2 linked regions of the Neodiprion lecontei genome follow. The protein of the gene in region 2 interacts with the protein of the main gene of each other region in a pairwise test. Links are inferred from orthologs where the notes say so. Each region holds a gene or a part of one and is shown on either strand. Other genes may lie near its edges.

The links.
Region 1: the proteins of ufm1-specific protease 1 (region 2) and ubiquitin-fold modifier 1 interact in binary tests that used the Drosophila melanogaster proteins (3 or more experiments, as listed by UniProt). The link is inferred for Neodiprion lecontei from reciprocal best matches to the Drosophila melanogaster genes Ufsp1 and Ufm1.

Annotation. Positions count from the first base shown.
Region 1 is NC_060263.1:16,361,908-16,366,975, reverse strand, and holds ubiquitin-fold modifier 1, read right to left. Parts: upstream 2,879-5,068; 5' UTR 2,739-2,878; coding exon 2,734-2,738; intron 2,540-2,733; coding exon 2,483-2,539; intron 1,028-2,482; coding exon 897-1,027; intron 820-896; coding exon 746-819; 3' UTR 589-745; downstream 1-588. Other genes in the region: protein tumorous imaginal discs, mitochondrial, read left to right, coding at 3,161-3,338, 3,585-4,057, 4,214-4,477, 4,560-5,004. UniProt on the Drosophila melanogaster protein: Ubiquitin-like modifier which can be covalently attached via an isopeptide bond to substrate proteins as a monomer or a lysine-linked polymer.
Region 2 is NC_060260.1:30,653,695-30,657,625, forward strand, and holds ufm1-specific protease 1, read left to right. Parts: upstream 1-1,723; coding exon 1,724-1,858; intron 1,859-2,221; exon of another isoform or gene 2,222-2,355; intron 2,356-2,668; coding exon 2,669-2,839; intron 2,840-2,954; coding exon 2,955-3,311; 3' UTR 3,312-3,316; downstream 3,317-3,931. Other genes in the region: uncharacterized protein LOC107223302, read right to left, coding at 1-49, 131-281, 390-538; dynein axonemal heavy chain 10-like, read right to left, coding at 3,750-3,896. UniProt on the Drosophila melanogaster protein: Thiol protease which recognizes and hydrolyzes the peptide bond at the C-terminal Gly of UFM1, a ubiquitin-like modifier protein bound to a number of target proteins.

The sequences.
Region 1 (5,068 bases), on a different chromosome or scaffold from region 2:
TTCATATTTTCTGTTGCTTTCATTACTATTTATGAACAATTTAGATCCAAGCGATTAAATTTCCAATACAGCAATGCAGTGTTATTCCCAACACAGAATTTCAAATTTTATTGATGTAACACTATAAAAAAATGAATATCATTATTTCTAAATTTGCTGTTAGAAAAAAGGAACGAATGATACTTTGTACTAAAACTTTCCTTTGGTATTCTGTGCTGCGAATGGCATCCGTCGTGTATACTGTAATTTGTCGTGTAGTGATGTACCTTTGTATCGACCTTGTATCTTTAAATGTATTTCATCTATAAAACATTTCTACCGAATGCCTTCAGGTCCCACGTTACAAAGTAGCACCCATGTTCGGGGATCCCTTCAATCCATCGATTTGTTGCGATTTCCAGTGAGCGTCTCAGGGTGAAATTTTGAAATGTGCAATCATGAGAGTTTATTTCACCTTGTCAAGTAAGTCAACATCCTTTTTCCCCCCAAGGTATTTTCGTCTCCTGCTATATTGTATCTACATACCTATCTGGATGCAAAGAGTGTGGGGTAATAAAATTGAATAAAAAAAATCAATAATGCAGTATGTAGGGAAGCATTGATATTGTCATTATCATTTTTATTGAAAATCAATTTCAACTTTCAATATTTACAAATCAATAATATATTATCATTTAGTTTTTTCTTTCTTCAAAAATTCAAAAAAAAAGAAAAAGAAAACGGAAAAATGTGTAGATTATCGGAATCAACTGCACTGGTTGCCCACTCTGTCTCGTGGTATGAGCCTCAGTTCGGAGCCGTGTTTCAAAAAGACGTTGCCTAAAAAAATCATTAATCATCACTACGCGTGTGAGTGAAAAAAAAAGTGTAAAAAATTTTTTAGAACTAAGTTTTACCCGCTGTCTGTTGCGGATTGATTCCTACACCGTCGTCAGTGATGATTGCTGACGTAGCCGGCGCTACCTTGAATTCTTCAGCAGCAAATTTAAGTACTGCGGTAAACGGTGTGTTGTCTGGAACGCTGAGTCTGTAAAAAAGCAAGGATTTTTTTGTTTTTCTCTACAGTCAATCAAAGGTGCGCTTTAAATAATTTGGGTTTATCTCGCAACATGATTTAATGCAATTGGGAATGATTGTCAAGAGATGAGAAATGAATGTTCGAAAGTTAAGGTATTACGTAAAAAAAGTTTAATAGTATCTTTGAAAAAATGATTTGTACACATGTTAAACACACAGCATTTTACACGTAATATAACTATACAGTATTCAACCAGCTGATACCTAGTTTACTGTTGTAAGGTCGATCAATCGTCATGGTTGTATATCCTGCCAAACGTTGGGCATTGGATCATTTTTAGCAAAGTTTAGCGTCTTATTGACGTATCGACGAATTGTAGAAGGACCACTTAGAAAAATTTTCATAAAACTCACAAGGTCGTTGTGTTTAAACAGATTTTTAGACACCCAAGATTCGCCATCGTGCGTCATATTTCTACCAAAATAAAATATAGTATCTACGAAGCTGGTTCGAAAACCCAAGTCTTCAATGAGGATTTTGTAAAATAGTTCCTCTTCGAGATCTAAAAAACTCAGAGTGAATTCTACATCGTACGCGTTTAATTTCGACACAAAACAATTCCTGAGTATCTTTTTGACACTGTTTGTCTCAGTTAGTTCCAAAAAAATCCTAACGAGCTTAGGCATGAAACCATCTTTCAACATTCTCTCGACGCATTCTGAGACCTCTGTCTGTTTACCCTGACCTGTTACATCCTCCCACGATTGAATCATAGCGTCATCGTCGAAATTCGAAATATCTATACCCAATTCCTGTAACAAATCTATCACAGCATTGTTGGAAACTGACTGGATTAATAATTGTTCAATAAATTGAGCGAGTCTGGGCTTTCCGCATGACTGTATGTACAGATTTATCAACTGATCGACTACAGCCGTTGAAACAACAGTGCTTTTCATGTAAACTTCAAGGAGTTTGTCACAGGCTTTTTTTAGAATTGAACACGGGTAAAAGTAATTGCGATTTTCGCTCTTCCACCAGTCCCTCAAATGGTTCTCAAACATGTCTAGCTTGTTTTCTTTCTCTGCTTCGACTATCGTGGCCTCTACGAACAGTGCATAGCTAAATATTTGTGACACGCTTTCGATATTAGCCTGCGCCGCAAGACTCCGGCTTTCTATTATGGTCAAGTACCTATCGATCGCTTTCAATATCTGTATAAACTGAGTCTCTGACACGTTATTTTGGCAGCTCATCGTTAGTAGGAAAAACTTTATTTCTGTATTCATAGGCCAAATTCCGTCGCTCTTTGGAGAGTAAATGCCTCCGCATCATCTGTTCAACAAAACGAAATAAAAACAGATTTTTTTTCTCAAAATTAACAGTCTGAATAGGGTGTCTGTAATGAATATAGATATAATTCTCCAGTCTCTGCTTTGTTTACAAATTACATTTTATACTTACACTTTGAAAGGTAGCTTTGGATCAGACGTGAGAGTAATCTTGAACGTTACTTTTGATCTGAAATCATTCGTAATTTCAAATTACATTCAATTCAATCTTTCATTATGATCTGTCATTTCATTTCCTGAAACAGATGTTTGTCAGCGCGTGTGACCAGCTTTGTCAATTATTAGAATTGTCTAAGTCGAATCAAACGAAATTTAGCAATAAGAGTCGTGCGATTTTATGACAACAACATAAAATATACTCACGCCATGGTTAAGGACGCCCTTTATTACGCCAACTAGAATTGAAGAAATTAATTTCCTATGTATGGGAATAACCTCAAAGGAAATAGAAGCGACACAATTGTGTGTGACCCGAAGTTGGCTGAATTATTACATCCGATTGCGAGAGATCGAGATATCGATATATAGCTCGACGAAAATCAGTCTGAAGATCGCCAACTTTATTGATTTTAATCAGCCAAAAACACGTGTCTTTGGTGCAAAAGTACGTAATAACAGTGAATACACAATAAATTCTGCTTAAACGGGAGAAGAAATATCACGGCTATCGGGTATTGCAATTTGTAGACGTTGAATGAAGAATTTGTGGAACATTCGATCGGTCCAAGGGTAGTATTCTTGTATTTCAGTGGTCACGTGACAGTCGCCCGCATGTCCCTTCATATCAAAGATGGCCACGACTAAGGGTCTTGCGGTAATTCTTCGGCCAAAAAGTATCTCTTTAATCGGTTGTAATAAGTTGAATAATCTAGCATCGGTCACCTTACAACAATGCAACACCTGTCGGCGTCTTTTCTCGGGCTCGGCGCTTGGTGTCGAGTTGTGGAGTCATCGGAAATACGAAAAACGTAACGCACCGCATACCGTAGACATTTCTAGATTACATCATGCCCTCTTCATGTTCGCGACATCGTCTCGTTCTAAATTCGCCTGACTGCTTGCCGCAAAGTTGTTTAACCGAGCAAAAGGGTTTCACCTTCGTCTGCCGATCTCACGACCTGTTTCACCCTCTTTTAGACGACCGTCGTTCATAACCTTAAATAATTTCCAGCACTTGTGACTATCTCATTTTTAATCAAACGTTCCTTTTGCAGATATACAAGCGAAATCGGCGCCGCTTCCGCGCCGCGGTTTTCACACCACCTACAAGCTTTTGGCAAGGCGTAATTACTACGAGATACTAGGCGTGCCGAAAAACGCCTCTCAAAAGGATATCAAAAAGGCGTACTATGAGCTTGCCAAAAAGTATCATCCCGATACAAACAAGGGGGATCCCAATGCTGGAAAAAAATTTCAGGAGGTATCCGAAGCCTATGAAGTGCTCAGTGATGAGGGTAAAAGAAAGGAGTTCGATACCTGGGGTGCCACTTCCGAACAGATGGGCATGGGTGGTGGTGGACAGCGCCAAGGAGCTCAGGACTTTGGCCAAAATTGGCAATTCAGATCGACCGTCAATCCCGAAGAATTATTCAGAAAAATATTTGGCGAGGCTGGGTTTCAGACCGGAGGATTCACCGAGTATGAGGACTTTGCTGAGAGTAACTTCGGCTTTGGAGCATCGCAAGAGGTAGAAAATCACTTGTTACAAATTGGTATTTTTTTTGCAAATGAAGTAATTTAATTTGCATTCTATAGTATTCACTCTACTCACGTTCCTCATGTGTAACCTTTCAATATTTAACTGACAAAACTTATACCTATGCTTTGCTTATACGTTTCCTAGGTCATCATGAACTTGACATTTTCCCAAGCCGCTCGTGGTGTTAACAAAGATGTAAACATAAACGTTGTGGACACATGTCCGAAATGTTCCGGAAGTCGTTGCGAGCTAGGTACAAAGGCGGTACGCTGTCAACACTGCAATGGAACTGGTATGGAGACAATAAGTACTGGTCCATTCGTGATGAGATCGACTTGTCGCTTCTGCCAGGGATCCAGAATGTATATCAAGTATCCGTGCGGTGAATGCGAAGGGAAAGGTCAAACGGTAAGTTCAATTTTTCTCTGCAACTTTGAACAATGAGAATAGAGAATGATGCTGACACTCCTCGCTGATGAAACTTTTTCAGGTGCAACGTAAAAAAGTGACAGTCCCCGTTCCAGCTGGCGTTGAAGATGGTCAAACAGTGAGAATGGCGGTGGGCAACAAAGAAGTCTTTATAACATTCCGGGTTGAGAAGTCAAAGTATTTCCGTCGCGAGGGTCCAGACGTCCATACAAGTGCCGAAATATCATTGGCTCAGGCAGTTCTTGGTGGTACAATAAGAGTTGAAGGTGTATATGAGGATCAGACGATACAAATACGCCCCGGTACTTCTTCGCACACAAGAATACGCCTAACCGGGAAAGGTTTAAAGAAAGTTAACAGTATGGGATACGGCGATCACTATATTGAAATAAAAATATCCGTTCCGTCGAATCTGAATCAGAAACAGAAGGCGCTGCTTCAGGCTTACGCAGAGTTGGAAGCTGGTACACCTGGTACCATACACGGAATCACGTTCAAAAAGGATGGTAAGAAAAAACAAGACAGTACCTAATCCGGCTCATGATTGTACGAACTGACTACAATGTTTGT
Region 2 (3,931 bases):
TCATTGATACGACACAGCGTATTACTGAGATTAGGATATTACTTACAACCTGTTGAGTATTGAAAATAACGTTGGTTTAATAAAACCGAAACAAATTTCGGAGGCTGTAAAATTTCATAAAGTTACTTACAAGACCATAAAATGCTAAGTATATTGGACTGCTAGTTGCACGCAACTTAAGCCTCGCTCTATTAAATCTTGCAGCGATGAATATGAGAAATATCAAATTTGGAATGAGTATTACAACGTCCCATATTCTCACTCTGAAAATAAAATGTTGCCTTAGAGCAATAGTAAGAAATGTAGTTTTGTTGGTCGACTCGGCTCTTGAAGGCTTATTGTCGTAAAACTATTTTGATTTCGTCATTTTAAAATACTGTACAAGTTACCTGGAATCTGCAATTTCCTTATATAAAATCAATTTACAAAAGTAATCTTCCTCTCCCATAGCCAAACTAATGTTTGGATCTATCGTAGTGCCGAGTAATCGTCGAAAGTGTACCTCAGACACGGTTTCCAATTCTACGTTACCATACATTGTTTTCTTACACAATGAAAGACTCTATACAAATTTTAGGCATAACAGTTTCCCATTGAATACGTAGGTGGAATTCTGAAAGACAAAAGAAATTGCTTACTAAATACATAATAAATTTAAAAATAAACTGTTCCAATCACAACTTAAGCAGCAGATGAATCTCATAGGTTTATATTGAGAATGATGTCAAGTATGCAAACAGTAACGAAGAATAGAACCGCAAATTTTAGATTAATTATTACACTCATGTAGGGTAAATTTGTTGTCAATAAACAATGTGACTCTAAAATTTGCTATCGCAAATCAATTCTTTGGATAAATTTATTCACAGAACAAAGAAGTTCTAAAATACTGCGTAGAAGTTTGCATTGATTTCGAGTATAAACATAACCTTCTTAAGATCCCATGATAAGTGTTGCGTTCGAAAGGTTGAGTATAATTGATAAACAGAAATCAGATTCCCAGTTAGAAAACGAATGAAAATACGCGTTAAGGGATTTTTTTACAAGTAAAGTAAACGTTGATCCGAAAATTGATAGAGATGCAAAATTTTTCGAGCTGTCAAACTCTTTGTCAAACGTTAAAGAAAATATGTAGTCGCATAATGTGTTTACCGTAATGAAATTATTTTCTAATCAACTTACGGATTATATGACTCCCGATAGTGTCATAACTCTGGAGAAATGAACTCTCTGTGATGAGGCTAAGCAAAAGTCCCGACTTATCGTGGTGTCGAGTGTTTTTTCAACCTTAGGCCAAATGTTCAATGCCCATTTTGTTCTCTGTAGCAGACTACACCATTCGATAATCTGGAAGCAGCGATGGATGCCGACTTTTCAGGTTCTGAGCGGTACAACGAGCTGTGAATTATTCGCCAAGCGAAGTAACCCCATACCGTGTACTTTGCAGCGAGTATAAAAAGCGCGATACTTGTTGGCCGAGAAGTCATTACATCTCGGAGAAAAAAATTATTCGCGAGATAGGATAGGTACTATAACAACATGGCTATCGGTTCGTTGATTCGTGGGTCGTGACGCACTTAACGCTGTCAGTGTCAGGTGACGCTGGATTACGTTGCTCAGCTCATAAACATGGCAGCTCGGTTTTCAAATTACTCAGAGAGATAACAGGCAATTATTTCACATTTTACCGCTGATCTCGCGTGTACCATTCGCAATAATTGAAATGGCTAGCGATTATTCGAACCATTTGTTGAAAAACGTGCATTTAGGTTTGTCACAACCGGCGAACGGTGAAAGTTTTTTTGTCACAAGCGAATACGAGTACTGGCATTACGGCTGCGATGGCGTAAACGACAGGGTAAACATATTTAATCAAGTTTTTGCACACGAGTTACTCGTGATACACTATTATTCAATAACATTCTCGAACGCGGTACAATCGTGAGTTTCTGATTCCCCTATGTTTACTCGAATACTTCTAGCCAAAGCTTCCAACATTGCAAACGTTAACAAATACCCGACACGCTATTGGGTAATTTCATCTGAAACGACCAATGGGATCGTGTGTACATATTTTAGAAACTTACACTACGGTTAATGGCACTGTTAAATATTATTTAATCACTGAAACTCATTATCTGCATTACTTCATTATACAATTATATCTTACATCAATTATTATTGATGTACAATTACGTTAAATAACCAGACTTTTACTTACATTGAATCATGGTCTCGCAATTCCCTGTGCGACTTAAAATCTTTACTGCGTATGTTCCGAATAAATTTTTAATATCGTGAATAAAATTTAGATGTTTGAATCTGTCGCGTAGTCATACGTGATCTCAAAAGTTGTTAAATATTATGTGAAATATGCACAAAAAGTACGTTTTTCATATCTGCCCGCGTAATACAATTGTAAACAAGGGAAAAAGTTATTGTTAGTCTTGAGCTACAGATTTATAGTCCATTTACGAAATATCTAAATATATGAGAAGTATTTTTCTCAACTGAACTCCACTGCACTAATATTTCTTCCTGGAGTTCCAAGACCTGACTGAAACAGTCTGGTTAGCAAAGATTGCTACGCTTGGCGAAGCATGAATCCTCATAAAAGTAGCGTAACATTGAATTAATGTAACTTAATAAAATTATTATTATTATTCAGGGATGGGGCTGCGGATACAGAACTCTGCAAACTATCATCTCGTGGATTGTAAAGAATTTGGAAACTGCTAGGCCTGTCCCTAGTTTGAGGGAAATCCAAGAGATTCTTATTAGTCTAGAAGACAAGGAGAGCTTTTTTCTTGGCTCACGAGACTGGATCGGCAGTTTTGAAGTGAGAACAAATTTTTTCTGATAAAGCTACCACTCTCTTGAAAATTCTAATACTGTACATTTCCGTGTATTTCCCCGCATGTTCTCATTTAGTCTCTTCTTCATTTTATTTCAAGGTCTGCCTCGTCATCGACCAGCGTTACGGAGTTCCCAGTAAAATTATACATGTACCTAGTGGTAAAGATTTAAAGAAGTATTCGGATGCTATAAAACAACACTTCATAGAATTTGGCAGTCCAATAATGATGGGTGGGGATAGAGATTGCTCTAGTAAGGGAATTATGGGTATACATTACAGTGCGAAGGAGATAAGTTTGCTCATAGTAGACCCGCACTTTGTGGGCAAAGCTAAAAACGCTGAGCAGTTAGCCAATGATGGCTGGGTGAAATGGCAGTCTTTGACAGATTTTGTAGACAGTTCGTTTTACAATCTTTGTTTACCTCAAATAAAACATAAATCTTTTAGCGAATAAATCAAGAAAAAAAAATACCCCTACTTTTTTTTCCTGAGATAAAAGATGACAATGAAAGTCAGTTGTTTGCAGTAATGTTGTGTAATCACTTGTTCAATGTTACATTATCCTTATATTGACTACGAAGTGAGGAAAATCAACAAATTCGAGTTGATTAGTTTGCAGTACTTGAAAACGAAAAAAAGCATAAAACTTTGTGCTCAGTTAATAACACAGATTCGAAAACTGTATAAAGAATATTATGACTTACTGATTCTAAGCAAGTATGTGCGGCATTTCTTCTTGCGGCTTAAATGGAACGGATACTTACATGTAAAAGATTCATGCGATACATTTCCCACATGCATTTAGGTAAAAATAAATTCTCTCCGTCTCCGAGATTTAATATTTGCATATGTACAGACGAACTCCTCTAAAGAAAACTTAATCACGAGATTGTCAATCTGAGTTCAGCAGTAGACATACACCCTGCAGTACCCAATGTGAAATATGCTCTGTAGTTGCCAGGTCTGCTTCAAAGACCAAACCAACACCCATAGCATTGCGTCTGTTCGACGTCGTGTATACTGGCGTTTTCAACGTGTTCTAAGTGAAACAAATATTCAATGATGATTTGATTT